Linked DNA regions of Alligator mississippiensis. The protein of the gene in region 3 interacts with the protein of the main gene of each other region in a biochemical or structural test. Links are inferred from orthologs where the notes say so. Each region holds a gene or a part of one and is shown on either strand. Other genes may lie near its edges.

Region 1 (10,354 bases), on a different chromosome or scaffold from region 3:
GAGACTAAGATGGGTAGACTAAGTAGCTTCTCCACTAAAAGGCCTTTAAATGAGACTACCAAATCTACTTCATGCTTCTGTATGGCACATGCATATACACAGTTAAGAAAGGCCACCTCTTCAAAAACAGTAATTACAAGACTAAGTAGCTTCTCCACTAAAATCAAACTTCTGTCACCCACAGTCCATCTCCATTTTAACTACTTTCAAAATGATACTCAGAAGTACTTGTAAACAACTCTGATCTGAGGCTCATTTACAGAGTGAACTAGAACACAATTCCCTGTTTTGAGTTTTCACTTCAGCAGGAGAAATTTGTGGAACCACCAGATATACACATATTCTACATCATGCAGTAGTGCTACAGAGTTCAGAAGGTTTAGTCAAAAGGGCTGTTTGGGGCTTAAAAACAACCACCCCGTCCAAATAAAATTTCTGCATACCAAGTCAACTTTAGAATATTCTTCTACAATCTTCATATGCTCTTCTGGGTTATAACCATTCCAACGATCTCTCTTCCCATCATAATCAAACATCAGTTGAGGCTGTATATGTTCATCTGGAGCAATGTTCATGCTTGTGTATTTTGCTCCTACTTTCCTGGGTCTCTGAAGGGAAATAAGCAACACCTTTGCACGCTGATGGTTTTGTAAGATGAAAGTTTAGTAAATTAGATTGTGTCTAATTTCCTGTAATCCTTTCACTGCTACCTCACAGTATTATAGCATACTGACAATGGAGGGCTAAAGAAAGAGCAAAAAAAAACTCAAAAAAGGGAAATGGGATTGTAGTCTACAAAACTGGGAAGGAGACTCAGATGCAAGGTACTTTTTACTTAAAGCCCCCTGCCCCCCCCCAAAAAAAACCCCAAACAAACCCCAAAACAAAACAACACAACACAGATTCATAGTTGTAGGGTTGGAAGGGACCTAAGTAGAACTTCAAGTCCGACCCCATGCTGTGGGCAGGAGAGAATACTGGGCTCATATGACCCCAGCTAGGTAACAATCAAGCCTCCTCTTAAAGTCTTCGCATCTGCACATACTCCAACAAATAAGATTTCAAGCTGATGTCACATGAATGGATATTAATGAGTAGTTTTAAAATATTATTATTGATTTTAATAGAACCAGAGCTAAAAAAAAAGCAATACAGCAGAACATGAACTAAAATTAAAAAAGTTACCAAAAAGAACTAAACAAATGACATAGAGGTGGCAGATGAGAGTTGTTTGAGTAAAGTGATCATTTTCTTATCTGTATCTGTTTTCACACACAAGGCTTGAGCTACAAATGTCCTCAGATATACCACACATTGAAATGTCTGTTAGTCTTTTAATGGTCTTCAAACAGCATGTTGAAGAGCTGAATTTCACAAATTCGAGTGAAAGTAAAGCATCAGTTTAATTTTAGTTAAAACTTAAGTTTTAGTTTGACAAATCTAAATCGATACCCTTTCAGTAGATATTTTCCATCATAACAGAACTGAGAGGAATGCTTTCCAGAAAAACTCAGACACCAAGTTACCTCTAGGCAGTCTTTCTTGTTGTGTGTCATTGCACCACAGTTCTCACAGGCCCCTTTGCGATATCTTGTTGCTAAAGCATTCTAAACATGAAAAAGCAAACATTATGTGAATGTAAAGTAGCATGACTGACCCACGATGCCAGTACTTAGCTTTGCCTAATCAAGAAAACAAGCCTAATTAAGTAAATGAAGCACAAGTACATACACCTGTATATACAAGATGAGCTAAAGCATTTACAGCAATTTCCAAATACCACAAACTATTTTGTAGAAGTTTTCCTCCTTCTTCCCTACTTAATCATGAATGTAGAGAAACCATAAAGAAAGATGCAATAGAACATAGGTTCCCAAACTGTGGTATGCATACCCCTGGAGGTACGCAAGACACATCTGGGAGGTATACAGAAGACATTAAGTAGTGGTGGATTTAATTTTCATTATAATAATAATTAATATTTAAGGGCTTAAAATATAAAATGTATACTGCCAGGGGTATGTAGGCAGCTGGTAAATCTGGAAGGGGGGTATGTAATAAGAAAATATTTAGGAACCTCTGCACTAGAAGTGACAGACAAAATTCCATTGAATCCAATGATGTCAGAGTAAGTTCCCAAAATTTTCTTCAGAATACAAACTGAATCCACATTGTTTTGTAGTTATTTAAAGTAATTACCAATAAAAAGGCTAATGGTTTCATTTAAGTTCCTAGAAGGAAGACAGCTATACCACCAAAAACTTACATCCTTGACAGGTTTTTGTAGCGAGACAGAGGATCAAATGGCAATAAATGCTAAGCTATACTGACTGTCTAGAGCAGGCTTGTCCAACATGCAGCCCACAGGCCGCCATTAAACCCACCAAGCCATTTTATTTGGTCCAAGGCGGTGGCGGCCATGCCGCTGTGGAGTGCAGAGCCGCAGTAGCAGAGCCATGGTGAGGCAGGCAGGGCTGGCCCACGGGCCCCAGCTAGCAGCGAGGGGAGGGGAGCAGACTGCCCCACGTGGGAAGCTAAGCAGCGGCCGCTGACACTGCCAGCCTGCGCTTGCCTCCTCACCCGCCCACTTCAAGCCAGCCCCGCTGCCCTGCCATACAGCAAGGCGGTGCCTGCTCCCCCAGCCAGTCTCCCCCTGGGCACTGTGGCTCTCCGGGCCCGGCTGCCCGTGCGCGAGGCCCCGAGGGGGTCGCTTCTCATGTGCTGCTGGGGACGGGAGGAGCCCGGCTGGGTCTGCACTGGCCAGAAGCGGCGGCAGAGCCGTGTGCCACTCGGGATCGGACAGGCCTACACCGGTCAGTCCCGAGCGGCACACGGCTCTGGCGCCGCTTCTGCTGGCCGGTGCGGACCTGGCCAGCCCCCTCCCGTCCCCAGCAGCACATGGGAAGCCGGCTTCAGCTGCATGCTGCTTTTCCTGGCTGGTGCTGACCCGGTTCTGCCCAGGCGGGTCCTGCAGCACCATGTCAACCCAGGCATAGCACTGGCAGGCTGGGCAGGCCCCAAGTCAACCCCAGCCTGGCCTCGTGGCTCCTGCAGCACCAGGTCAACCCGGTTGTAGCCAAGCAGCTCCTGCAGCACCAGGTCAACCCCTGCAACTTCACTGGTGTCAAAGGTCATGTGACATCACTTCCTGATATGATACCACTTCCTGTGATGTCTTTGAATATGGCTTGCCGGCCCACTGGGTGATAAAAAGTTCATGATCCGGACCCACATTCAAAAAGGTTGGACACTCCTGGTCTAGAGAGAGACCCAGAGGTTGAGCTGAAACCTAGCTGGTGCAATAGTTAGTGAAGCAAACTTTACCCAATACTAAAGTTACCCGAAGAGTGACTGGCTACGGTGAAACATGGCTTAAAAGAAACCACCACAATTCTGTCAAGAACACATTCTGCCCTTGGTCACAGGCGTTCCACAAGCCTCACCTTTGCTACACACCAAAAAGGTTTTTACTTACCTCTTGAACCCCTCGTTTATACCAGTCTCCAGATGTGCTAAACTGCTTCTGCTTCTCTGGCTGAGGTCTCTGGTGCTTTAGCGTAGGTCGTTTTGAAGGATCTATGTACCATGGCACTGAGGAGATGTACTGAGGAATATGAGGATTGATATCTCTGAGAAAGATTTTAAAAGAAAATGTTTAGACGTACAAATAATATAAACATGAACAGGAATCTTTTTTTTAAAAGAGCATTTTTTGTATTTAGTATAAATATTTTTGTAACAGGTGGTGTAGATATTGGTCTTCTCAATACACTGAACTGGTCTATACTTACCAAATTAAACAAACCATAATTCTCTTTACTTCGATCCATTTACTTGGGCTGAAATCCAGCCTCCAACCGAGTAACTTGACTTGGTATTATGAACAACATAGGATCTTAGGGAAAGAGTTATACTCCCCCCCTTCAGCAGTGAAAAAACTGAGCATCTCCATCTGGTGAAGGAGATGGAAGTAGAGGAAAGTGAAAGAACAATCTACATTATAACAAATCTTCTATCCGACCCCCCATCCACCACTAAAATGCCACATGGCTCCATTTATTACTGGCATCTCCACTTGCCATATACCAAATAAATGTTAATTCTGTGTAAAAGGAGTCTCTACCCTTGCTGAAGAGGAAGAGGATTTGGGTCTTAAAGAATAACTCACAAAGTTGATAAGTTACACTAAGCCACTGTTAGTGTAATTTTGCATGTTTCTTGAGATTTTCTTTGGCTATCAGCAGGGAGTAGAAATGTAAATATTGTTTTAAAAATTATCTTTTTAACCTCTTCTAATTATAATGGTTAAACAGTTAACCAATAACAGAGCTGCTGCTGGGAGCCACTCCTGGGGCCTTTTGGGTGGGTAATGCAGTGGCAAGCCCAGCCAGATAACACAGCCCAAATGAAGCTCCTAGGTTGGGAGGGAGGGAACAGCACCTGTGAATGAGCAGCTCACTGCTTAGTTGATAAGTCATTAAGCTGCCTGCTGTTTTCCTTTTTAACCTCCTAGGCTAGGGTACTACTCTCCGCCTCACACCTTCCCCTCCTCCTCCCTCCCCTGCAGCCTTCCAGGTCCTGCTGGGTCACTGCGTGGCTTCCTCGCCTCCCTTTCCCTGCCAGATGGGCGCACTAAACAACCAGTAAGCTAACCAGTTGTCACCGGGCTTACCAGTTAATTATTTACCTTTTAACATCCCTAGCAGAAATATTACAATTACATCCCATCGGTAACATTGAAGCCTTAAGTAAAACTTACTTTCCTTCCTCGTCTACTTCGGCTGGTGCATTACCCAGCTTTCTCTGTTCTTCTAGCTCCTTCTTCTTCCTCCAGTCCTCTCTTGTCATCTTCTTTGGCTCTTCCAAGCCCACATCATTCGAACCTCCCGGAGGAGTAGAGGCTATTACAGCCCCAGATGCCATGGTCTTTTCCCTTGCGAACACGTACAGACGTACTGAAAAGGACAATTTCCGGCATTATGAAAACTGAACAAAATCCATTTCAACCCGTTGTTTTACATCACTGCCCTTTACCTTTATCATTTACCTTTATTCACCGCGCTTAGCGCCTTCCAGCTTCCTAGTTACAATTCCCAAGAGAGAATTTTACCCCATGGCCTGGCTGGTCTGGACTGGGGGGAGAGGCTCCCTCTGTAGTGAGGCCTGGCCCCATTTTGGGGATTTCTTGGGGCCCGGCCTGCCCCACTCCTCCATGGGGGCACGATTCCACAAATGCCAACTCCCATGAGAAAAAAAAAATCACGATTTCCAAATGAAATGAACTCGGACTCGTGATCTCCTGATGGAGAGATCAACTCCCGGGACTTTTCCTTCTGACGCGTACAGACAGCGCCGAGGCGGTAGGTCGGGGGGGGGGGGGAGCGGAGGGGACTACGGCGCGGGGGAGAGCGGGGCCGGCACTGGCGTGACCGGGGCCCCAGGGCTGGGACGAGTCACGCAACGCAGCGACGCAACCTACCTGCCGGGCCGTGTTTACCCAACTAGGACTCGGCCTCTCCCACCGTGCACCGCGCGACGGCTCTAGCTCCGCCTTTTAAAGGCGTACGACCCCTGCGAAGGGATGGAGCCTCAGCCTCCTCCCGCAGCACTCGGGGCAGGCCGATGTCTCTGACGAGGTGTCGGCGGCAGGACCCAGCGGGGTGGCGTAACTGCGCATGCGCACACACAACTTCCGGTTGATGGCCGCTTTCGTGCTGGCGGCGACACGCCCCTCCCCTGGCGGAGCGGCCTGGCAGCCAATCGGGAGTCCGAGCGTTGGGGCCCGAGCGAAGCAGCCAATGGGAGGCAAGGTTGATGTTTAAAAGCGTTCCCGCTGATTGTATTGTGTAGAGATTAGTGAGTGTGTGGGGTAGGTTGTTTGTGATCTTGGGTGGGCTTCAACCGCCGCTGCATTGCCCTGGGGTCGGGTCGGGTCGGGTCGGGTCGGGTCGGGTCGGGTCGGGTCGGGTCGGGTCGGGTCGCCCGCGGGGCCGCGCCCAAGCTCGGGCGGACGCGCTGCCCCAGTGCAGGGCACGACGCCCGGTCATGCCTCAGGCTCCGCGGGCTGGGAGCGCGGCGCCTGTCCCGGGGCGACACTCGAGAGAGCTGCAGTGCCGGCGGGGAGGGAAGCGGGTAGCTCAGCGGTCAGGCAGAAGCCCCTAAGGCGGGTGGCAGCCTGCACTGCTCCAGCGCGAGGCTGGAAGCTTTGTCAACCTTTCCACAGCCGAGACCCCCAGCCCTAGTGTGCTGCCAGGCGAGAGGTTCACTGCTGACTAAATCGGACTGCTAAAGTTTAGGGGTGCATTGATAGAGTTTTTGGGGGCTGAAATTTAAGGGGGTATAGTGGTTGATACCAGTCTGATTTCTGATACAGCTGTCTCCAGGTGGTAAGTCCAGTGTGGTGGAAGGAGAGGAGCGTGCAAGGGGCAGATCAGAGCCCTTTGATGAGGGAGGAAGCAGGTGGGGGCAGGGGTGGGGGAGGTGCAGGATGAAGCCACGGCTTGTGGGGTGGGGGTGGCTCCTGCTGCTGCTTGCACTTCTTGAGGGGTGTGCCCCTAGATCTGCACAGTATGGGGCAGGCCACTGCTGTGGTATAGATGGCAGCTGGTATGGGGCAGGTGGCAGCTGGCACTGCATGGGACTCTTCTCAGTAGGGCCCTGGGCTTGGAGCAGGCTCCGGCAGTGCTGGGAAGAAGCTGAAGTCACCCCAAACTTTGCTGTGGCTCTGCTCCCAGCCCTGTGCCACCACCTGGCAGAGCCCTGGCTGAATGCCTCAGTTCCACCCAAGTGCTGGGAAAAGCCATGGTTGGGCTGGGTGGCAGCCCAGGACTGGGAGCAGAGCCATGGCAGGAGCTGCCCCCACCTCTGAGCTGTGCCTCTGTCCCATGTCCCCTTCCCTGCCCTGGCTGGGCCACACCTGCCCCCTCCCTTGCTGAAGGGGGCATTGATCTGTGTGGGCCCCCCCACCCCCAACACCCCTTCCTTCCCACTTCCCTTTCTGACTTGGCAGCTGGAGGCAGCTCTCCACACTGCCAGCTCTGCTCCGTGCTGTGGCTGCATGCAGCATGGGCATATATCAGCCCCATAAGGCTGATATCCAGTAGACAATTTTCTTCATGTTGGTACCAATCCAATATTGGACCAATGTATTGGTGCATCTCTACTAAAATTGAGTCAATTGCTTGTGACTTCCTAACTGAAAGCAGAAGGGACTTTAGCAGTTCAGTGCGTGTAACTAAGCAGCCTAGCTCAGTGGCTGTCAGCTGGGGTTATGCACACCCCTAGGAGTACTTAAAATATTCTAGACCTAGTGTGACTGAAAAATGCCACGTGCACACACAGAGCTGCAGCACAGCACATAGGTGGCCAAGAGAACAGCCAGTTCTGGCTGGTAAATATGTTGTGAGGGAATGGGCTGGGAGAAGGGGCAGATCGAGGCCCCAGTGGTGGGGGTGGGAGAGGAGCTGGGGTGGGATGCTAGACTGAGCTACATGGGAGCAGCTCCCATCTCTGCATGCACCCCAAGAGTGCATGGGGCAGGGGGACATGTGCCCCTGGATCTGTGTAGGTAGGGTGGGATGCTGCTACGGGCTGGGGTCAGGGTTGTGCTGGGCTGTTCTTGGCAGGGGCTGGGCTAGACTGTTCTGGTCAGGTGGTGGCAGTGCTGGGAGGGGCTGCAGCCACCCCAAAACTTGCCATAGCCCCCTTCTGCTGCTGCTGCCACCACCCACCCCCAGCACAGCCTGGTGCCAGTCCCACCCCATGTGCAGATCTGGGGACACGTGCCCTCCCAGGGGTGCACATAGTGGTGGGACCTGGGGTGAAGCATGGGATGGAGCTGCAGCTTCCCCAGGGGGAGGGTGTGGCAGCTCCTGCTACTGCGTGCACCTTGGGAGGGCATGGGGGTGTGTCCCTGGAGCTGCGCAATGTGGGACAGGATGCTGCTGTTGGGCTGTTCCTGGCAGGGCCTATGTTGGGCCATGCTCAGGGCAGGTGCCATCAAGTTGCAATGTATTTATATATAAACCTTTTTGAGTAGTACTCTTAAACAATATGGAGGTAAGAAGACCCAAGTCAACTTTCCAGAAAGATGGTATAACTGTGTAGATGCAATTTTCTTTTTTTTTTTTTTTTTTTGTCATGAGAGTATCTTCCAATGTACTTCTATATTAGCACTTTCATCATGCAGGTCTCAATTGTTGCATTTCTTGAACTGGGAGGAGGTATTATTATATTCTCATGTAGCTTTCTCTTATTTTTAAGTTGTTTCCATGATCTGAACATGGCAACCCTTATATTCATAGACCAGGAGAATGGAGAAGCTGGTGCTACTTCTAAGGATCGACTAAGATTGCCTTCAACTTGTGAGTGTGCACTTTTGCCTTTAAAAATTGAACATTTTAAAATAAACCAGGAATGTGCCTGGCTTGCTATTTCTGGCATGGGAGGTGTGGGAATTCTGAGTAATATAAGCAAACATGTAGACTCTTGTTGGAACCTGTTTTCATTGTTCTTCTGAGACCCTTTTCTCCTTCAAAGGCTTCCAGGGGGCTTTATCTTTTTACAGGCAGCCTTACTCTATTTGTGGGAGTGGAGTGACAAGGAAATAATTCTCCAAGGTTAAAACTTTATCCCTATGTAGAAGTCTTTTTTAACTGTAACTAGTTCCTCCTTCCTAGGCAGAAAGTACTGAAATGGCTCATAGTGGTATTTGCGAAGCATGTAAAGAATCTTAAAACTTTTCTCTGCAGCAGGAAAAGTTCTGTCTGAAAGGTCACAGGTGCAGACTCCCCATGTTAGAAAAACAATTAATGCAACTCCAGTCGCATCTAAGTCTCTCAGAAAGGCTCTAGGAGATGTGAACAGGACTCTGCAATCCACAAAAAAGAAGGAAACTTTAAAAACACAAAAGCAGCTTGTGACTAAGGTAAGTGCATGAGTCCTTAGCAGGAAGTAGATCCTTAAGTATGCTTAAGTCTCTGGTCCAAGGGATTAGGACAAGAGAGAAACATGTTTAGATATTGCTGCCCCCCCCATGTAGATGCAGGGGACAACATCCTTGCTGGCAGCCAGGTTGGGAAGAGTGACCCAAGAAGTCTGAGATCATGATCCACATGATATTTCTGACCTATGTAAAATGAGGTTGTCTTGTCCTATGACTCCACATATATTACTGGGGTCATATTACTGAACATAATCTTACAGCAAACTAGCAACCAAATTGACCACTGCCCTTGCCTTTTGATATATATTGGAGTTCCATAGCTGTGTGCATGAGCACAAACCCCTTGTCCAGTTTGCCTTTTAAAGTCATTACTTAAGAACCTAGCTAGTATCCCTTCAACTAATATATATTTTATTTTTATTTATTTATTTACAGAGTACTACTGAAAAGACCACTGAAGTGGGAAGTTGCAATGCAGTACCTGAAGAAACCTACCCAGAAATTGAAAACTTGTTTACCTACAACCCTCTAGGTAGGAACTCAGTAACACTAAGCTATCTGTCATTAATCTTAAATTGCCTAAAGTATATGCCTTGACTTTAAAGTAAAACAAGGTTAGCCTCAAAATCCAAGCCTTCAAATTATGTCCAATCTCTCTAAGGGCAGTGACCTGGATACCCTATGACCAGGTAGATGATGGACACTGCAGCTTTCACTTAAATACGTTATTTTCTCACATAACCCACACCTCTCTCTATCCCCCTCCCCCCCAAAACCAAACAAAAACCTAGCTGGGGAAGATAAAGGTGCACAGTATGTGAGGGGAAAGCCTCCCCATGGGTCTGGGAGGGGTGGGCTGAGGGGAAGGTTGAGACTTGGCCCCAGCAGTGTCAGTCTTAATTGTTGTGGGGGTTAGACCCAATATGCTCAGTCTGGGACTACAAGCTGGTACTGGGACAATGTACTGCGTCATACCTGGCATGCAACTGTGCCTCCCAGCCTTGGAAACCCCATACCTCAGATACCAGTGGTATGGTAAGATCTCTTTCCTTGTCCCTCTCTTGAAGATATGTTAGTGAGTTCATGAAACAAACACACTTTCAAAATGGTGTTTGGGGTCACTTACTGCCATCATGGCTATATCAAAGCTACTAGAACAGGGGTTGGCAACTCTTAGTACATGTGCCACAGCATACCACATGAGGCTGTTTTGCTCAGCTTGCCACATCTAGCCTGGGCTCTGAGCAGTGTTGCCAGCAATGAAGCCTAGGCTGTTTGCAGTAGGTGGCAGGGAAGCTGCAAGCTCTGCTGTGAGCAGCTTTGGTTCTGTCGGGCAGCAGCTGCCTGGAGCCCAGGCTGGATGTGGCAGGCAGCTGTGAACCTGTAAACAACAACAAGGTGCCATGGAGG
Region 2 (9,264 bases), on a different chromosome or scaffold from region 3:
GAAGTCCTTCCCCAGGATCAGCTTCATGCGGAACACACCGCCAGCATATGGGGTCCCCTCTGCCACGAGAAAGGGGAAGGGGTGAGGTCTAGAGCGTTGCACAGCGAATTCGCAGCTCTCTCCCCCACAAACCCCTGGGGGTCTTTACATCCCAGAACCCTGTGGTTCAAGGGCCAGGACTCAGCATCAGGGGTGCTACACCCAAGGACAGGGTTCCCTGGGATGGATGGCAGCAGTGGCACCTCACGTATAAAGGATTCAGGAACAACCCCATGGGTTGGGGGAGGTGAGGGTGTGGATGAAAACAGGCCCCTGCTGTTCCTCATACAGGCTTGACAGGATGAAGGAAATCTCACCCAGCACTAAGAGCTGCCTCTGTGGTGGGGCACATCAGGGGCTGGTTATACAGGGACCCCCCCCTTAGTACAGTGCTACTAGTGAAGAACTGCATCTCCTATTGAAATTAGAGTATCTCGTCTCATGATGCCCTCATCCCTTGTACAGTCTTGCTCCCCCTCCCCCCACAAGGAATCAGGTTGGCAGCAAGGCACCCCACATGACAGCATCCCACACCCCCATGTGCGTATCAGGTCAGGCATAGGGTCAAGCCCAATACAAGCCAGGGCTGGATGCTGCCTGTGGCGTCCTCCTCCCTGGGAAGAGTCCCTCCTGACTCCTCCCTATGGTAAGTAGAGGGGATTCCTAGCCAAGATGAAAGGCAGCCCCTCCCCACAACCTGCAGGCAGTATACCGCTCCTCCCCCTGGAGCCTCACCAGGCCCTTCGATGGTGACCTGGACATCTGTGATGTCCTCCTCATTGGGAAAGACCTTGATGCCCTCAGGTGGGTCTGATGTCAGCGTGGAAACCTCTTTATAGACCAGGCGGATGACATGGGGCGGCAGGTTTTCCACATTTGAGTTCTACAAGGGTGAAAACAAACAGGGGAGGTACATCAGAGACTGTACTCAGTGACCTTGCACTAGGACAACTATAAAACTTATGCCCCTCTCTTGAAGTGTCCCAAGCCATTCTTGGACACCCTTGCCATCCCACATGCCCAAGATGCCCAGCACAGAGTCCCTAAACAGGATGTGTCCATCTCTACACACTTGGCATGCACAGGGCTGCTCATCTGTGGGCATTTACTGGTAAAGGACCATGTTCCCCATGCCCTCCAGCTCCCTGCTATGCCCATGTGTGCTGCCAGTCAGGCCAAGATCCCAGAGTCAGCACCTGCTGTAAGGAGCAGAGATCCATATCACCAACTGCCTGGGAAACCAGGCCAATTGTATAGCAATTGATCAGAGTCCATGCAAGCACAGGGCCAAGCCCCATATCCATCCTGAGAGTGGCAAGTGCCTAAGTACCATGAAGCAAGACTGAAGCTCTTGGCTGTGTGGCCCGGAGGAGGTGGAGGGGTAGAAATCAACTGCAGTAGAATGCTTTCCTAGTTCTAAGTTGTCCAGACACTGGAGCAAGAGCCTGGGGAAGCCTCCCTTCCTGGAGATTTCCAGGTGGAGGATGCACAGGCATCTATTTGGGATCCAGCACCTCTGCAAGGGATTACACCAATCCTCCCTCCCCACCCCACTCCCCACCAGACCTGCTGTTCTTGCAAATCCCAGGTCCCTTGGAGTGTAATTGGTACACATCAGGCTCAATGATTCTGATCACCTTGATCAAAACCACAGCCACCCCTCCCCCACTGCAGATGACACTGGTCAACCCCCAAGCTGGACTGGGACAACACAACGGAGAAAACCAGCAAGATGCCAGACTAACTGCTGCCAAGTCCATGAGATAGTGGCAGCTGAGAACACTGGTGAGTGAGGACAGGAGGACATCCCCCCACCTGCCTGATGCCAAGGCACCCAAGTTATTTCTGGAAGGAAGCTGCAGGTAGCAGTCTCCTGCAAGCTCCCCAGGCTCAGGAAGCCTCAACTGATCTCAGCAAACGGTCTGCCTTACATCTGACACTCCCCTAAAGTCTCAGCTGAAAACTGGGGCCCTGACAAGGCTCCAGATCAGGGAAGGGGAACTCAACAGTGCAGAATGGTTCAGAATGGAGGGGGACGGGGGGTTGAAAATGGGACCAGAGCCCTGCCATCAGGCAGTCTCACTTGGACAGCCCCACACAGCTACAGGCCTGCCCCAGCAACCTAGCTCCCTCACATCTCAGTCATAACTCAGGGAGGGGGTAGAGGAAAAGGACCTATGGCTATGGACCCTAGCAAGCATCAGGTGGAAGAAGCCCCAGTACCCCCCCCATTCTCCCTCCACATCTTCCCTTACCTACCTTGTACCCCCAAATTCCACCCCCTCTTTACAACTAAGCCAGGATTCAGACTCCAAGGACTCCCAAATCCTAATCTGTTGGATCAGGTCTGTGAGAGAAACAGCCCAGCCTGTCCTCTTTGAGGAGGGAGAGTTCAGCTATCCCCCAGCCTCTGAAAAAGCATTTGGGAGAAGAAGGCAAGTCAGAAGCCCCCTTCCCACATCAAACAGGAGATTCCGGCAAAGCCAACAAAGCCTCAGCAGAGAAGTTTCGGCCAGCAGCTGCTGTTCATCCACCACAGGCCTGAGTACTGACACACTCCTGTGGTGACAGCCTGCCAACCTCCCCCCCTCCCCCACAACCTCCCCTTCCAAAACCCCCTTGTTCCCCAACCCAGGTGACCTGTGAAAATGCCAGAAGGCAAGAAAAGACTGCAGTAGAGCTAGGGGCCACTTGGAGCATCAGGAGATCTCTTAAAGAGCTCCGGCTGCACTCCATTCCCTTTTCTCTACCACTAGGCCCATAAGGGGAAGGGCCTGGCCTGGGGCTCAACCACTGGTCCCTTCCCCAACAGGAAGGAGCTGGAAGTCAGCACCATACAGAGGGGATGAATATCTCCCACTTTCCTGCCTTTTTCAACCATAAAAATACACGCACTCTAGGTGCTTGTCCCCACAACAGAGGCCTAAGACCTGGAAGAAATTAGGCCATGATGCTTCAGCTGCAGCTGGCCATTTCCAGATGCCTGAGCTTTAAAGGCCATGTAGATTTTAATAATTCAGGCCTCTTGGAAGCACCTCAAATCTTAAAACCCAGCTTTTGTTTGCAGCTGCATCTAGAAGCAAACATGCCATGAGAGTAAAATATTAATAAAATCAGGCATTACAGGCATGGACCTGGCCACTGAAAGCCCCGCTGCATGCTGATCTGACAGCCTTTCAGACGCTCGCTAACTTGCCATGTGCCCACCAAGAGTGAAAAAAGGAGTTTCATGTACATGTGCCACAAACCAACCTCCTAAAGTTTGCAAGAGCAGTGTAAAAAATCTACTAGCCCAGGCACTGGACTAAGGGGGCCACCTTCTGGGTCTCCGATTCACCTCTGAAAAACTGGACATCTCCAATCATTTTTTTTTTGGAACATCCAAAAGGAAAAAACTGCACCAAAAAAAAGATAATAAAACAGCAACTGTAGGAGCTAGGCAAGGCCTTGGAAGGAAAAACACTTCCCCAGCTACTTGCTAGAGTCTCTCTTGCAGGGGACCTGACCCCCGCCTGGACTCACAGATTACTGCACTACCCACGACCTCATTTTTACAGGGATTTGAGACATTTGAGCAGAATCCCCCACTTAGACTGCAGCAAAGTTGGGCCCAGCAGAGGAAAAAACTGGCCCCTGTGGTTTTTCTAAGCTTCACAAAACAAGAAAAAAAAGAACCAAAACAAGCAGCCAACCCACTCTATAGCCACTTTCAAGCTAGCAGTGGAACAGCAGCTTTTTAAAGGAGGCAGCCATTCTCACAGATGGAAAACAAAAAACCCGAGTCAACTTTCACCTCCAGATAAGGCCTGTTAAAGCTTCCTTAGTTTGTTTAAATGGACTCAACTTTCACCAACACCCCTTTCACCCCCAAAACCATATAAAAGGGCTGGGGTTGCTCTGTTATTGGTAAATAACGATAGCCCAGGACAGCAGATTCCCACGCCCCAAACCAAGCAGCAGACCAAGGGCTGCCAGGAACACCCCGCACCCCCCCCCCCCACACACACACACACAGAGTTACTGTTAGGCCATCCTCTGAGTCTGTATATCGAAGAGGAATCAAACACCCCAAAATGTACATGCTCCTCCCCCACACCCCAACAGCCACCAGGCCTAGCATCACATTACAGCTGCTATGACCACCACCAACACACAGGTCCCTGCTCCATAGGGCCTACCCACCTGCCCACCCCGAGAAGAGGTTAAAGTGAGGCCCCTCTTAACACGGGGGTGCAACCAGCTCCACCCACCCAAGGGCCACCCTGTAACCTGGTGGGTGGGCACTAAGGAGATGTAGAGAGAAAGGGATCGAGAGCCACTCACCATGGTGGTGGGTCTGGCTGGAAGTTGGCAGAGACCGGGGGTCCCTCACCCCCCTAGACTGACAGGCCCCCCCAAAGTGCACAGGGGCAGCCCAGCACCGTACAGAGTCCCCTGTGCACTGGGTGGGGAGAGGCAGGGTCTCCTCCCAGGCCCCCCCCTCCCCACCTGTGCCCACCAAGCCCCCCCAATCCCACTAACGCCCTCCCCCACACTGGGCTGGGCTGCCCCCTGTCCTCCACCTCGTCCGGCCCACCCTCCCCGGACAAGGCCGCCCCTTCTGGCAGCTCTCCAGCCGTCTCCCACCCTCTGCACTGAGGCTGGCGATTGCCCAGCAAAGGACTTTATAGCCTTTGGCCCCGGCCGGCCACGCCCCCTCCGAATCCCGGCCGCCCAATCAAGCCTGGTGGAACGGAGTGGGTCGCCCCCTCCCACCCCCTGTCCCCGAGAGGACGTTGACAACAAACGTCCGCGACGGGCGAAAGCCAATAGAGAGTGAGACGGGGGGCGGAGCCAGCGGGCCGATTGGAGGGATTTGAATACGAACCTCGCGAGGCGGCGGTTGAAGGGGAGGAGGGAGGCGAGAAGAGCGGAAGGGAAGGTGGGGGGAAAGCTGTTTACCCCAACGGTTGCAGGCAGGGGGCGGGGCGGAGGTTTGAAATGCTCGATCGCCAGGTGGGCGAGCCAATAGGAACGGACGAGTCCGGGGGGGGGCTCCCATTGAGGGCCGTTTCCACACAGGGGCGGGGAATAGGCCCTTGGGGGCGGAAAGGGGAGAGGGGGCGGGGAGGTACTTCCTTCACGCATGAGAATGGACAGGCTGGGCAGCCATTCAGGGATGAGGATTCGGAGCGCTCCCCCCCCTCATTGCTGTAGTTGCGGGCTCGGGAACTGGAGTGTCAGTGCAAGGGGGAGGGGAGGCGGGAACCTTAGGGTTAGCCCGGCCCCGCCCCTGGCACTGGTGCCCCGCGGGGTGTGAGCTATGAGCTTTCCTGTCCTCAGGCTGTTCCCTGGGGTGCCCCAGCTGTGGGGGCGAGTTGATTTGGGGGATGTCACCCCTTCCTGTCTGTGCATCCCACGGGGCCAGGCACGAAGGCCTGAGGGGGCAGGGCTGGAGCCCAGGGTCTGGGAAAGATACCCAAAGAGCAGGGCTGAGGATGGGGGGCACCCACACTCACAGCAGGGGAGAGTGAGGTCAGGGTTTACATTGTTTCCTTCCAGCTGTAAGCCCACAGGGTGGGCGTTTTGCTGATTCCTGTGACCTTATAGGGTTGCCAACCCTCCCAGCTTGGCCAGGAGTCTACCAAAATCGGCATAGATTTCCCAGTGACTATTGAAAGCAATCGGGGAAATTGATATTGTTAATGGTTTGAGCAGTACAATTACTGATATCATGTTGGGGAAAAAAAAATGGAATAGCTTCAGAGTTGGCAACCCTATGACCTTAGGGATTGGAGCCTGTGCCCAGGCTATGTGCATCCCAGGTGGGCCAGCTTCAGCCCGTGCTTCCACTCGCACACTATTGTGTCACCAGCCTCAGACATGCCCCACCCCAGATGGGTCTGTATCTCAGTGCCACTGTCAATGAATACGGAGGCCAGTAGCAGGAAACATCAGTTTATTCAAAAAACAGGGTTACAGCAATTCCAGGGACTTGCAGAACAGCCTCTAGTACTTGTTCAGACACGCTGTGTGTCCCTGTCCTGTGGGTCAAGCTTGGTGCCCTTCGCCTGGCCTGCTCTGTGCTCCTCTCCCACACTTGCTTTGTGGTGTGATTTTTTCTGCGTGTCAGTTCGTGTGGATTTACCTGAATTGTTTCTGACACCGGCAAATCTCTGTGCAGTGCAGGGCTGGCAGCGTGAATGTTTTCATAGCAGCACAGAGTACATGGAGGAGCTGAGGGGTCAGTGGCACCCTGTTCCATACAGTCTGGACTTGGGGAGGAAGATTGAGTGCCAGTGTGGCACCACCCCTTGCTGGTTTGTGTGGCAGTACCCCTGGTTGTGTGTGTGTGTGCAGATGCTGATCCAAACTACCCCCTGGTAGTGTGTGTGTGGCACTCCCCCCTACTATTGTGTGTGTGTGTGTGTGTGTGTGTGTGTGTGTGTGTGTGTGTGTGTGTGTGCAGATGCTGGTCCAGACTGGCTAGATTCAGATTATGTACATGTCTATGTGCTTGTTTGTGGAAACTGCCCTATACTGGCTAGATTCTTGGGTTTGTGTGCATGTGCATGAGAGTGTGCGTATGAACACTACCCCATACTGGTAGATTTAAATTGCATGCACGTTCGTGTGTTTGCATTTACACACACGTACTTGTGTGGACACTACCCTACATGAGCCTAATTCAGCCTATGCATGCAAATCCGTTTATGTGCATGCCTGAGTGTTCATATGCGTGCGTTTGTGTAGTGGGGCACTGTCCTCTGCTTGTCTAGCATAGGAATTGTCCTCCTGCCCACAGCTGACCCTGCCTTCCCAATGGCTTCTGGGAGCTGCCTCAGGGGGAGCAGGGCATTTCCAGACTCTGCTTTGCCCTGTCTAGATGAGGCAGGGGGCCACTGAGGGTGGCCATAAGCAGAGCTGTCCCTAGTGGTGTGCGGAGTCCAGGGCATATCAGCCTGTGTGGGGCCGGAGGGTCGGGGTGGTAACTGCCCGCAGTAGCCAGTGGCAGCATCACCAGTGGGGCAGGAAGGGGGATGGCAACCGCCCACAGAAGCCAGCGGCAGCAGAGGGGAGGGAGGTGGCAACCACCTGCAGAAGGCGGCAGGGCCTGTATGGCACTGCGCAGGGCCCCCCAAAACGCACGACCCAGGTTGGTCACCCTGATTTACCACCCCTGCCTTCCCCCCAGGGACGGCCCTAACCATAAGGCACGTGAGCCGATGCAGGAAAGGGGAGGAAATGATAAGTCATCCAACATCAGGGGTGAGGGATGAGAAGGGATCCCCTCAACACTGCCCACTGGGGACACCCTAGTCCCTTTTGCTTAGGCTGCAGGGGCTGCCCACTCATGGAGACCAGGGGCTGGGCAAGATGGGCCTGTGTCTCCATCCTGACCCTTGCTTTTCCACAGGCCCTGAAGGGAAGTCGAAGGTCTAGGCAACTGTGCCCAGCAAGCACCTTTGGAAGATGCAAAAAAGAGCCTGGTCCCCAGTGGGTATGAACAATCCTGATGCCCCAGCTACAGGGAGGAGGTGTTGTGGGACCAGGCAAGGGTTTCAGGAAGCACCAGGTAGGTTAGTAGAGGGTGCTGTGCTGCAGGAAAAGGGACAGGGGACTTATGCCATGGGGTGTGGAATGGGGTGGGAAGGTTGGGTGATACCTTAGAATGGGGAGTGGAACAGGGGGCTCAGCAAAGAGCACCATACTGCAGGGGGGTGTGAGCTCTTTTCTGTCATACCAGGGAAGCATGCAGTGGAGTGCAAGTGTGTATCAGCTAAACCATTTGGTCCCTGGGGCCTTTTACTGCTGGACATGTTTGGAACATTGTTGCTAAGAATTTACCTCCCTGGGATTTAGCAAACTCCTTCCCTAGTGTGGATTTGTCTGAACCCAAGGGCTTGCTCATGAAGAATGGTCTGCATGCTGTGGCCTGGGGTAAGCTCTCATGTGGATCATGCTGGCTCCCTGCCAGGCAGGAAGGCCCTTATGTGCCTTCCTGATTTAGATGCAGCAACTGCACTGGGCTTGTCAAAGGAAGAGAAGGGATAGAGGAAAGCAAAGAGCAGTTGAGTGGTAATTTGCTGTGAATGAACAGCAAGCCATGAACAGGTAGGTGCTACTGACTGGTGAACAGGAGCTAGTGACTGGTCTATGGGGGTGAGTGACTTGTGAACAAGCCATATACACTGACTGGTGAAAGGGTGTTAATAACTTGTAAATGACAAGACACCAGGGGTAACTTAAATAATGTGCTATAGAGTGCAAACATCAGCAAACAATGAGCAGTGAATAGTGAATCACATGCAATGAATGGGGAATGAGGAACAAAAGTCCCTAAAGGGCAGACAATGGCAAAGTCACAAGAAGACCTGACAGGCTCCTGAGACCACAGCCCATGGCCATCAGTGATTGTTGGAGAGTGAAAATTATCACCCAGGAATGGCATCCAACAGCCTGTCCAGCAAAGCAAATGGAGTCTCAGGCCAAACCTAATACCACTGCAATCTTGGATAGACAACTGAAACAGCCAAGAGTGATGAAGCCATGGTGGGCAGTTATAAAGACCACTAGGCATGTCTACACGTTTATTAATGCGCCGTAGTTACAGCACATTAAGTTTAGTACTTGGTTAACCCCAAGTACTAAATCAATGCTCAGTAACTTGCACTACTGCACGGTAGTGCTGGTGCACCAGTTTTTAGTGATGCTTACTGTGCAGTAGCCTACTACTACTGTGCAGTAGCATATTAGCGCAGTTTCTGCCTGGAAGGCTACTGCACAGTGTTATTAGGCTACAGCACAGTTAGCGTCTTGTATAGATACACCCAGTGAGTCAAGTAAGGAAAGGGTGGGGACTAGGAGTAGGGAACAGGGAATTGTAGTGACCACAGGATAGAAATATGATAGGAAAGAACAGTGGGTAGTGAATGATGCTTTAGGTTTGGTGAGTGGAATAAACTGTAATAGGTAAAAATGAGTGGAAGTTGCCACCTAATTAATGGTGGATGGTGACTGGAGATTCCTAATTGGTTCCTGATGAGTAGAAAGTGACAAACAATTACCAGTAATGGTAAGTACAGAATAATGAATTGTGATGTGTGAATAAATAGGATTGGATTACAAAGAGTGATTGGGTCATTCATTATACTGAGTAGTAATAGAGACTGTATAGATTATAGAAATTCCTTTTAAGAAGTGACAGATAATTATTAGTGAGTAGTGAATACTGAGCAGTGGTTG
Region 3 (10,002 bases):
ACCCAGCCAGGCAGGCACTTCCATGGAGATAAACCACTCCTGTACAAAGAAGTCCTTTCTATCTGCTCTACTGCTCCCTTGGCAGAGTTGACTACAAACAGCACAAGGACCAGGTTTCTGCACCTTGTTTCCTAATGAGTGCTACTGCACTACACTGGCTCCTGGGAGATGAGCTCTTCTCTACATTGGGTAAGCATATAGGCTTCAAACTGCTCTTGCCAAAATGAAGCATCTTTCTCTCAGAAGGGGAAAGCACTAAATTGCTGAGTTTCCTTTCTCCCTCAGGCTGGGCTGTGCACAGCTGCTGCTTGGCATTCTGGCTGAACTCTAATGGCATTTGCTACTGACCTTTGCTAAGTGAAGGTCAAATTTTACTTTTCTTCACCTTGTGCCAAGGCCCTTCTGAAAGGAAAACACACTTGTGCAAAATGAAGATTTTACTGGACATTGTTTCCTCTACATATACCAAAATGATAGCAGCTCCTCTCAGTCCAAGAAGAGAGAGACTTTAGGAATGTGTGAGTCCATGTGCTCAGCTCTCTTTTACAACACTGCCTTTTGGCTCTGTGGCTCTGCTCAGATTCCCCGCTTCCTTCTTTAGGACATTTAGCAGTGTCTGGGAACTTTCCAGGATCTAAGGGGGAAAGAAAAAGAAGTTACTTACCTCCTACACAAACTCTCTCATCACAGGCTGCTCTTAAATTAACCATTCAACTGAGTCCTTTATAGTCAAGAGGAATTTTCTACCACTGCAGTCTTTAAAACTTCTAGGAAGAGCAAGCTAGTGGTTTGATGCTGGAATTGTTAGGGAAGGGTTATTTTGCCTGTGTTTTGGAGGAAGTCAAATGGAATGATTGCAATGGCCATTTATTAATATTCACAGATGTTAAGGCTGGGAGGGACCATTGTGGCTTCCTACCGGAGAACCTCCCCCTGTGACTCCTGCATTAAACCAGCAACAAGGGGATGAACAGGAGGTTTTTTAGAAAGATGCACAAATCCTTGATTTAAGGATGCCAAGTGACAGAATCTGTCACATCCCATGGTCAGCTGCTAAGTACTCTCACTACTAAAAAAAGTGTACCAGGCTTTTGGATTATGTTCCGCCTTGTCTGCTCCAGTGAAGGGCACTCTGCTAAATCTTTTCCCTAGCCAGATATTTTGTCTCAAGTTCTCTCTCACTTTTCTCTTTATTATAAGTTCCTTAGTCTTTTGCAAGCTAGGATTTCCAGAGCTTGGATCATTCTTGTAACTCTCTTCTGATGACTTTCCTGTACGTGGACATTTTTTTCTTGGTACGGAGGAGGCAATACTCAGTAGTTGTCTCACTGATGCTGTACACAAGGGCAATACCATCTCTACCTCAACTCAGCTTTCACAGGAACATATGGCTAAGGCTTGCATTAGATCTGTTAGGCACAGCACTGGGCTAGTACACATTCAGCCAGTTCCCACCGTGGCCAATAGGGCTGTGCAAAGCTTCGGGTGGTGATTTGATTCAGAGGAGATTTGGCCCGATTCAGTGGCCCAATCACTGAATCTGAATTGAATCAGGGGACCAATTAACATTAAAGGTCTGAATCAATTCAAAGCTCTCCAAATCTCCTTGGAAGAGCCCCCCCACGTGGCATAGGGCAGCAGGGATTGCCCCGCCAGCAGGAAGGTGAGTCTGGGGTTTTTCTCATTTTTTTTTTTCTTCTTAAAGGGCCAGAACCACAGCGAGTAGAGCAGCCACAGGGAAGCTGGGGGGCAAAGGGGGGCAGAGGTTTCGTGCAGAGCCCCCCACGGGGCAGTGGGGAGCAGTGGGGATTGCTTCCCCAACTGGCAGCACCTGCTGAGTCGGGGCTTCTTTTTTTTCAAAATGCCGGGAGCTGGGGTGGGCTGGGAGAGCGGACAGGGGATGGGCCTGGGCCATTCAGAGATTTGACAGGAGCCAAATCTCTGAATCGATTTCGGGCAAATCAATTCGGGACAGTGATTCAAATCACCAAATCGAAACACTGTCCCCCGAATTGGCCAAATCCGAAGCGAATGCTGGCCACTTCACACAGGCCTAATGGCCAATAACGAATGCTCTTTCATGGCTTGCCAGTGAGACCTGTTTTTTAATTTCTACATAAATAAACTTGTATCTGGCAGCTGCATGGGTCTTGGACCCCCATGGGATTTTGCAGTTTACTTATCCCTCCTTCCTGCCAGAGTAGCAGTACCTGCTTGACCCACTTTCTGCAGACACTATCCTCTTTGCCCCACAACCCACATATCTGGAAAGGGAAATGTCTCCTTGCCCTGCTACATAGTTTTTCCAAGCTCCATTCGTTACACTCATACACTAAGTACTAAGGGACTAAAGCACAGTTCACACACAAGCCACAACATGATTGTGCCGTGACAACTGCAAGTGCCATGAGCTTTTCACACCCTTCCAGTCTTCCCATAACTCAAACATGGCAACACTGGAGAAACAATGCAAGGCAGCGCTTCTGCCATGACAACGCAACAGCCTTAAGGGTTCCCCTGGGGACAACACAGAGCTTACTCCTCCCAAAGCTCTTTGTCCCTTGTGATCTAGGACAGTGGTTCTCTACCTTTTTTGGACAAGGACCCATTTGTAAACATCAATGGCCAGGCCCAACCCACTGCCCCCCACCCCCAGGCCCCCAGTACGTGGGGCATGGGGGCCCCTAAGTAGCCCCTTGGAAGCTGGAACTCTGCCAGTCTGCAAGGGAAGAGCCTCGGTTTTCCACGTTTTTCTCCTCTAAAAGAGAATCCATTTTTTAAGTTTGTTGATCAATTTTTAAAGTTTGTTCACAACCCTTTTATATAGTCTTGTGACCAACTTTTGGGTCACAACCAACAGAGTGAGAAACACTGATCTAGGACAATCAGCAGCAAATGCTCTCTGAAGCCATAATGCTGCCTTGAGCACAGTGAAGGTCACTATGATCAGTAGTCCTCATCTAAAGAGGGGAAGGCTCAGAGGAGATAAGAGATTAAGAATGGGTAAGCTACTAAGAGTCGTGCCTGGAAGGCCACTGGGAGAGGGGCGAGGCAAACATAGAGAGAAAGACAGACCCCAGCACAAAATCCCACAGCAGTGAAGACAAGTTCAAGTTTCTTCTTCCTCCACTATTTTGATTTCCTTCACAACCCTTATTATTGACCATGATCCATGCTTGTACCCTGGGCTAGACAGAACCATTAATTCCTGGTAACTGTGGGTCTTCAAGAATTGACTCTCTACATTCACAGTTGTGAGACAGCACTCCCTAGGGTGAGCTCACAAGATCCTCCTCTAAGCCCTGTCCATTACAAGATGCCCAAGTACCCTTTAGCTGACTGAGCCATTTGGTGCACAAGGCTAAAGAAGGGATGCACAGCTACACTTGCTGCTGCCAGCTCTTCTTGACAGTGTGCCGAATTATGGCTATCTACAGCGGGGGTGGCCAACCTACGGCACGAGTACTGCAAGTTGCATGGGCATCCTTTGTGCGGCCTGTGCCGGCGGAGGGGTCAGGCAGCACAGCAGTAGATGGAGCAGGGAGCAGATCAGACTGGGATCACAAAGCAGAGAGCTGGCTGAAAGCAGAGGAAGAGACTGGGCACTGGGAGCAAAGGGCAGGGAGCAGAAGGCAGAGCTGCAGATAGGGCAGGGAAAGGGGATCAGTGACACCCAGGGAGGGCACGGGGCTAATCTGCGGCATAAGAAAGGTTGGCCCCGCACTACTCTAGAGCAGCGGCTCTCCAGGCCGGCCTGTCCTACCCTGCGGCCAAGGGGCCGTGCCCGCTTGCCGCCTGCGCCACCCTGAAAGGGCTCCATGCAGGCAGGGAGCCCCTTCCCCGCCCAGCCCCACTCCCGCCCCAGCCCCCCGCACCCACCTCGCAGCCCGGCCCATTTCATTTCAGCCAGTTTCTACCGCAGCTGTGATTTTCCCACGGATGGGGGGGCCCCAAAACTACATGCTGCAGCCCCCCCAGAATATCACGGTGCTTCTCAACCTTTTTTGTACCAGGCCCCATTTGTAAACATCAGTGGCCCGTCCCGACCCGGCGCCCTCTCCCCAGGCCGGGACCCCGGCGTGCGGGGCGGGCTGCAAAGGGAAAGTCCCCAGGTGCCGCTTCTGCAGGAGGAGGCGTGTTTGCAGCCGGCTCAGGGCGGTTTCCCGCGCCCCGCGGGGCCGAGGCGCTACCTTGCCGTAGGCCGCCTCGGTCTCGGCGATGGTGCGCTCGAACTCGTTGCGCGTGGCCATCTTGCGGGCCAGCCCCTCGTTGAGGCGGGCCAGGCGCTCGGTCAGCAGCCGGATGTCGCTCTGCAGCTTGCCCTTCTCCTCCTCCTCGCGCGCGATCTGCCGGCCCAGCTCGTCCCGCCGCGCGCACAGCTCCTCGATGCCTGCGCCACACGGGGGGCACGGCGCTCAGCGCCCGCGGCCCCCGCCACCGCCGCGCCGCGCCCCGGCCCCAGCCCCAGCCCCGCACCCGGCCCTCACACTTGACCAGCTCGTTGTTGTAGCTCTGCAGCGCCGCCCCCTGCTGCGCCATCGCCGCCCCGGCCCCGGCCCCGGCCCCGCGCCACCAACGGCCTCCTGCGCCCGCGCCGCCCCGCCCCGTCCCGCCCCGCTCCGCTCGGCCCATGGCGGCGGCGGCCCCCGGCGCGGGGCTCTCGGCGGGCTGGCACGCGCTGGGCGCCGGCCTCGTGCCGCCCGCCGCGCTGGGGCTGGTGAGTGCGGGCCGGGGGGCGGCGGAGCGCAGCCCCGCTCCTTCCCCGCGCCTGGTCTCGGGGGTTTTGTTTTGAGCCCCGCCGGGCGGCTGTGGGGCGATGCCCCGGCTCCCAGAGAGGGGCGAGCGGGCCCGCAGGCCTCGAGGGGGCGGGGGGGCGCAGTCTCTTGGGGCCTGGGGATGTCTTAGGAAAAGGCCCCTTGCGGCAAGTCACAGCTCCCAGCGTTGACATTTGTCACGGGATTTCCGCGGGGGCGCGAGGGGGGCGCGTAGCAGGTGCGCGCGCGGTCGTCTCCGACGTGGCCGCCGTTCCGGCCTCCTGCTCACGGGTACGTAAGGAGGGTGCCCCACTCCTTGTGCTCTGTAATCGCCCTCGAAGTGCAGCGATGCCGTGGAAGGCCTCGCCCTGACGGCCCTGGCGCAGGACATCCTCGTGTGCTGGCTCAGGCTGGAGAGAGCCTGGCAGTGGCCCGTGACCCGCAGAGGGGATGGAGCGGGGCCCGTTCGGGTCACGGCTCCCATGTCAGCTGGGGATGCAGTCGGCATTAATACCACAACAGCAGTCGCCCTTGTGATGTGAACAGCGACCCATTAGGAGTGGGGCTGAGACCTCCGCCCCTCTGCCCAGGAGGGATGCCGGATGCCAGTTAGTTGGTAGCTTTCAGTCCCTGCTATGCCCTACTGTGGACAAGAGCAAAGGGTCGGCTGGTGAGTGGCTCCATCTGTAGACTGCCCCCTGAGTCCGGTTGTCTCTCCAGCCTCAGTCACCCTTCAGGAGTCCCTGCTTTCGTTTACCTTGGTGTCTCTCTCTAGGCAGCACCCAGGTCTGGACCAGTGGAACCGCTGAAGGACAGCGACTTGCAGGCCGCTTTGGAAGTGCTGCGGAGCTATGACTTGCACTGTGTCATAGAGGAATGGTTCATTCAAGTTTTACAGACAGATCTTCAGACAAATATAGCTCCTGAATTCTGGAACTGCATTGGCCAGTATGAAAACACAGCTGAGGAGCCCCAGTGCTCCTTACTCCTCCTGGATGCTTTTTGTCTGCTCAAGTGCCGCCTAGACCCTTATCTAAACAGTCTAGATCTTCTGGAAAAATGGACCAAAGCAGGCTTGCTCCTTGGAACGGGTTCCCAGATGCTACGAGAGAAAGTGTACACCATGTTTAAAGCCATCCTCTTCTTCTCCACTACAAAGACCTTCCAGGAGATGATCCAGCAGTTCTACAGCCGCACCTTCAGGATATATATGCAGCAGTGGAAGAAAGGAGAAGATGGAATGAATGAGTGTGAGAGCAGTATGAGTGAAAATGATCAAGAGAGTGATACAGAAGAGGGAGGAGGAGACAGCCAGCAGTGTGCAGGCTGCAACAGTAAGAAAGACCAGTGCTGGTGTCCCACAGCCATGGAGCAATTTCAGCAGCTCAGTGAGATCCTGTATGTATCCTGGAGGGAGGGAGGAAAGGGATTTGTTGGACAGAATCAATATACCATTTAGAAAGTAGACTGTCTACAGGCCTGTCATGGGTATGAAAGTCAGAAAGGTCCATCCTAACCTAGTCTGCTTCTTGCAAGGCATTGTCCAGAAAATCTTGCCCAGTGATTTCTGCATCTAGCCCATAACCTGTGGCTGAGCTACAGCAGATCTTTGACAAACAGGAGAGTGGTCCTGGTAACTGCTGTGAGATTATCACCTCCCTTTAGGCTTGTATTCCCTTTGGGGACAATGATTCTAGGCGAAATATTTTCTTTTCCCCAGATGCTAAAGATCTTGAACCTGCTGTTGTGGTTCAGTGGTTGAATCCTTGTCTGCCACATGAGAGACCTGGATTTGATTCTTGGATGCACCTATAACTACAGCTGTCGAGGCACCAAATGTCCATACTGTCTGGCCTTTGGATACTGTCTCAATGGGCTAAAGGGGGAATAGAAGGTCTGGGCACCCCCCCACTTCTCCATACTTGTAGCCAAATGCATTGAAGGTCCTTGTGACCTCTTGCGCATACACTGGGATCCAGAAGGGTCCACGTTTGCCTACTAAAGATCTTGAAGAAGTTGGCCAAATTTCAAGGTACTAAATAGTGCACACATACCCTGCGTGTGTAGTGTGGCCTCGTTAATGCTTCTGTTGGGACCTTAAGGATGATATGTAAGAGGCACTACATAAGGCCTGAACAGGAGTTTAGAAAATATTTGCTTGTTTTTCCATTAGAAAGCAGTTCTTATCTGCAGTGTGTTAGCTAGAGGATATTACAAGCAACTGGAGAGCTCGTGTGAATATAACCAGGGATCCGGGTTTTCCGTTTCCCATGGAAAAACAGAAAAATGCAGTTTCCCCCTTTACCCAAGGAAAACATGGATTTTTCATTTTAATGGAGAAACCCACAGATTTTGCACTTTTGCAAAGAGCTCTCTGCAGGCTGGTAGAGTTCCAGCCTGCAAGGGGCTGGGGGGAGCAGCAGGAGGGTGCTCAGGCAGGGGGTGTCATGTGTATGTATACACACATGGCCACCAGGCAGCCTGGAGAGCTGCTCTGCAGGTAGGTCTGGCAGCAGCAGGGGCAGGGAAGAGCGGAGGGGGATTGAAGCCCCCATAGGGAAGGGGGGAGTTGGGTGGGGGTGAGGCTGGGGCTGAAGCTGTTGCCCAGCCAGGAGGGTGTGTGGGGTGTGTGGCCTGGGGTCAGAACGCGCAGCTTCAGGGCCCTGGCGAGAAGCGGGACAGGGCCTGTGGGCACTTCGTTCAGGGGGTGGGGCCAGCTCCCCACCACTGTGCGCGCTCCTTGCAAGACAGGAGGCTCCCATACCCCCCAGATCTGTGCTCAGGGTAGGGGATTTGGGCAGGGGCGGGCTGCCTGCTGTGGGCTTGGGTTCCCCACCCTGCTGCCCTCCCCTGGGACCTCCACAGCCTGGTGGGTGTGATCCAGCAGGGCAGGGCAGGGCAGAGCAGGGCCTCGTGGGGAAGTTCGTTGCTGCTGAGAGCTCCACACTGCCCTGGCAAGGCATCCCCTGCCCACATGGCAGCAAAGAGGGGTACAACCCTACACCACTGCCCTCGTTGCTGCCATGCAGGCAGGGGGTGCCTTGCCAGGGCAGCCCAGAGCTTGCAGCAGCAGTGAGCTTCCGTGTGTAGCCCCGCTCTTTTTTGCCACACTGGGTCACACCTGCTGGGCTGCGGAGAGCCTGGGGGGGGGCAGTAGGGTGGGGAGCCCAAGCCCGCAGCAGGCAGCCCATCCCTGCGCCATGCACAGATCAGGGGGCACGAGTGAGCGCAGCGATGGGTAGCTGGCCCCACCCAAGCCCACAGCTGGCAGGGGAGGGGGTGTGCTCCGCTTCACTCCGCTGCAGCAGCTGCCACCTCCTGTGGGTGGCAGCTGGGGCTGTGGAGCTGCTGCAAGGGGCAGAGCGCTGCGGACCTGGACCCCTGGCCCTGTAACCCTGCCAGCTGGGGGCCCACTCTGGTATGGCTAGGGGGGCAGGGGGCTGTGGGTGGGGGGTGAGGGACACCAGCAGGGCTGGGGGAGCTGTGCGGAGGAGTGAGGGGCACTGGCAAGGTCCAGCGGGCTGTGGGTGAGCATTGAGGAGCACCAGCAGGGCTGGGGGGGCTGTGGCTTGGGAGTGAGGGACCTGGACCTGTGTTCTGTGAGCTAAGGGGGCAGAGGGAGCTCTGATTTTCCATGATAACCCAAAATCAAATACCAAAATTTATAGGTGTTTAGAACTTATTTAATTATAATGATTGAGGCACAGGTAGGCTTCCAAATTCCTTTAAATGATAAATATTATCAAGAAAGTATTGTGTTCAACTGATACCTCTCTCTCGCTCTCTCTCTCTCTCTCTCTATTAGTGCCCTTTCATTTTAATCATGGAGTTTTAATAAGAAATTTTGCGGGTTTTTTATCAGACAATTTGCAGGTTTTTTTATTGGGGAAAACCAGGATCCCTGGATATAAAACAGCAAGCAAAAGTGGATCCTGAACTCTGGAAAGGTTCAGGGATTCCTATTCTGTTTAAAACCTCTGGCTTTTTATTTTTTATATCAACTTTATACAAGCTCCAGATAGTCCCTTTGCTGAAAATCTAGCCCTCCTCTCTTTACTTGAGGGGTGAGAGCTATCTCTCCAGTTCTCCAATCCATCAGCATGGACTGGAAGCAATGGCTTATGATTTTGTATGTCCTGAAGATTACTCCTAAAGAGTAAACCTGTTTATGCACTTGCTTTGCAGGTGATGTTTGACTCCTAGGTTTTTTTTCCTTCTTGCATAGCTGCAATCTGGGGCCCAATAGTAGCATGTGCTATGAACACGTAACACAAATAGCCGAAATTAAAATGTACCTGGAACTGTTAAACATTTAGCTCTTTACAATATCATATGTTAGAAATAAATGAAATGTTTAAAGCTATGACTCCTTACTTCCTCTGCACTGCTTGAAAAATCTTTGAAAAAGCAGTGTGTTTGTAAGTTTTTGGAAAGGAGTTTCTTTCCTGCCTAGATCTTGCAAAATGCTTATGCTCTTTAATTAGTCCTAGCTGATTAATTATTGATGATATAAATTTGGGTCCAGTTGCCTCATTTTTATTTTTGCTTCCTATTGGATGACAATCCTCCCCAAATAGCCATCCTGCTGACTGAGAAAAACCAATTCTCTTCACAGACTAGAAGCCAGGTGATCCAGCTAGAAATGTACACCATGACGGTTGCCCTGAAGTAGACACACAATTTTACCCTCTTCTAGGTGGGGATCATCTTCCCTTCTTCCCAGGCTCCATTATTAGGCATTTGCTTTGTGCTTTTCTCTGTGTGCTGTAAACGAAGCCCCCTCTCTATATCTGCAGCCACAGGCTGAACCTGTTGGAAAGGGTGAGTTCTGATGCTGTGACAACTATCCTGCACAAGATGATTGAGGAGAGGATGGAGCGGAGATGCAGGGGTGAATACGAGCGCTCTTTTCTGAACGAGTTCCAGGAGGTAAGCCCCACACTGACTAGGGACTGTCACTAAGGCAACATGTGCCCACTTCAGTTGCAAGTTAAAGAGGCTTATTTTCATATCAGCTTATTTGGAAAAGGCCTTGTCTGATCATCCAGGATCCCCAGTGGCTGGTAGAAGAGATAGCGAAAGCTCTGCATTTCTGTTTAAAGCCAGAAAGCACCATTAGATTATCTAACCCAGGGGTAGGCAGCCCCCAGCACATGTGCCAGTGTGGCTTGTGAAGGCATTTTGCTTGGCATGCACATCTTGGGGTGGATGGTAGGGAAGTAGCCAGGGCTGTACTACCACAACAAAG

What was found.
Region 1: the proteins of ANAPC2 (region 3) and PTTG1 form a complex in vitro, tested with the Homo sapiens proteins (2 studies listed by BioGRID, with this or other methods). The link is inferred for Alligator mississippiensis from reciprocal best matches to the Homo sapiens genes ANAPC2 and PTTG1.
Region 2: the proteins of ANAPC2 (region 3) and UBE2S form a complex in vitro, tested with the Homo sapiens proteins (3 studies listed by BioGRID and IntAct). The link is inferred for Alligator mississippiensis from reciprocal best matches to the Homo sapiens genes ANAPC2 and UBE2S.

The regions. Positions count from the first base shown.
Region 1 is NC_081832.1:59,019,468-59,029,821, reverse strand, and holds the start of PTTG1 (securin), read left to right. Parts: upstream 1-5,723; 5' UTR 5,724-5,805; exon of another isoform or gene 5,806-5,869; intron 5,870-6,127; exon of another isoform or gene 6,128-6,386; intron 6,387-8,262; 5' UTR 8,263-8,281; coding exon 8,282-8,363; intron 8,364-8,750; coding exon 8,751-8,926; intron 8,927-9,379; coding exon 9,380-9,476; intron 9,477-10,354. Other genes in the region: pre-mRNA-splicing factor SLU7, read right to left, coding at 444-608, 1,527-1,607, 3,476-3,629, 4,760-4,923. UniProt on the Homo sapiens protein: Regulatory protein, which plays a central role in chromosome stability, in the p53/TP53 pathway, and DNA repair. Probably acts by blocking the action of key proteins.
Region 2 is NC_081828.1:74,781,079-74,790,342, forward strand, and holds the start of UBE2S (ubiquitin-conjugating enzyme E2 S), read right to left. Parts: upstream 4,529-9,264; 5' UTR 4,366-4,528; coding exon 4,363-4,365; intron 923-4,362; coding exon 775-922; intron 60-774; coding exon 1-59. UniProt on the Homo sapiens protein: Accepts ubiquitin from the E1 complex and catalyzes its covalent attachment to other proteins. Catalyzes 'Lys-11'-linked polyubiquitination.
Region 3 is NC_081835.1:47,568,183-47,578,184, reverse strand, and holds the start of ANAPC2 (anaphase-promoting complex subunit 2), read left to right. Parts: upstream 1-4,614; 5' UTR 4,615-4,630; coding exon 4,631-4,717; intron 4,718-5,529; coding exon 5,530-6,152; intron 6,153-9,550; coding exon 9,551-9,683; intron 9,684-10,002. Other genes in the region: microtubule nucleation factor SSNA1, read right to left, coding at 533-634, 4,191-4,390, 4,488-4,539. UniProt on the Homo sapiens protein: Together with the RING-H2 protein ANAPC11, constitutes the catalytic component of the anaphase promoting complex/cyclosome (APC/C), a cell cycle-regulated E3 ubiquitin ligase that controls progression through mitosis and the G1 phase of the cell cycle.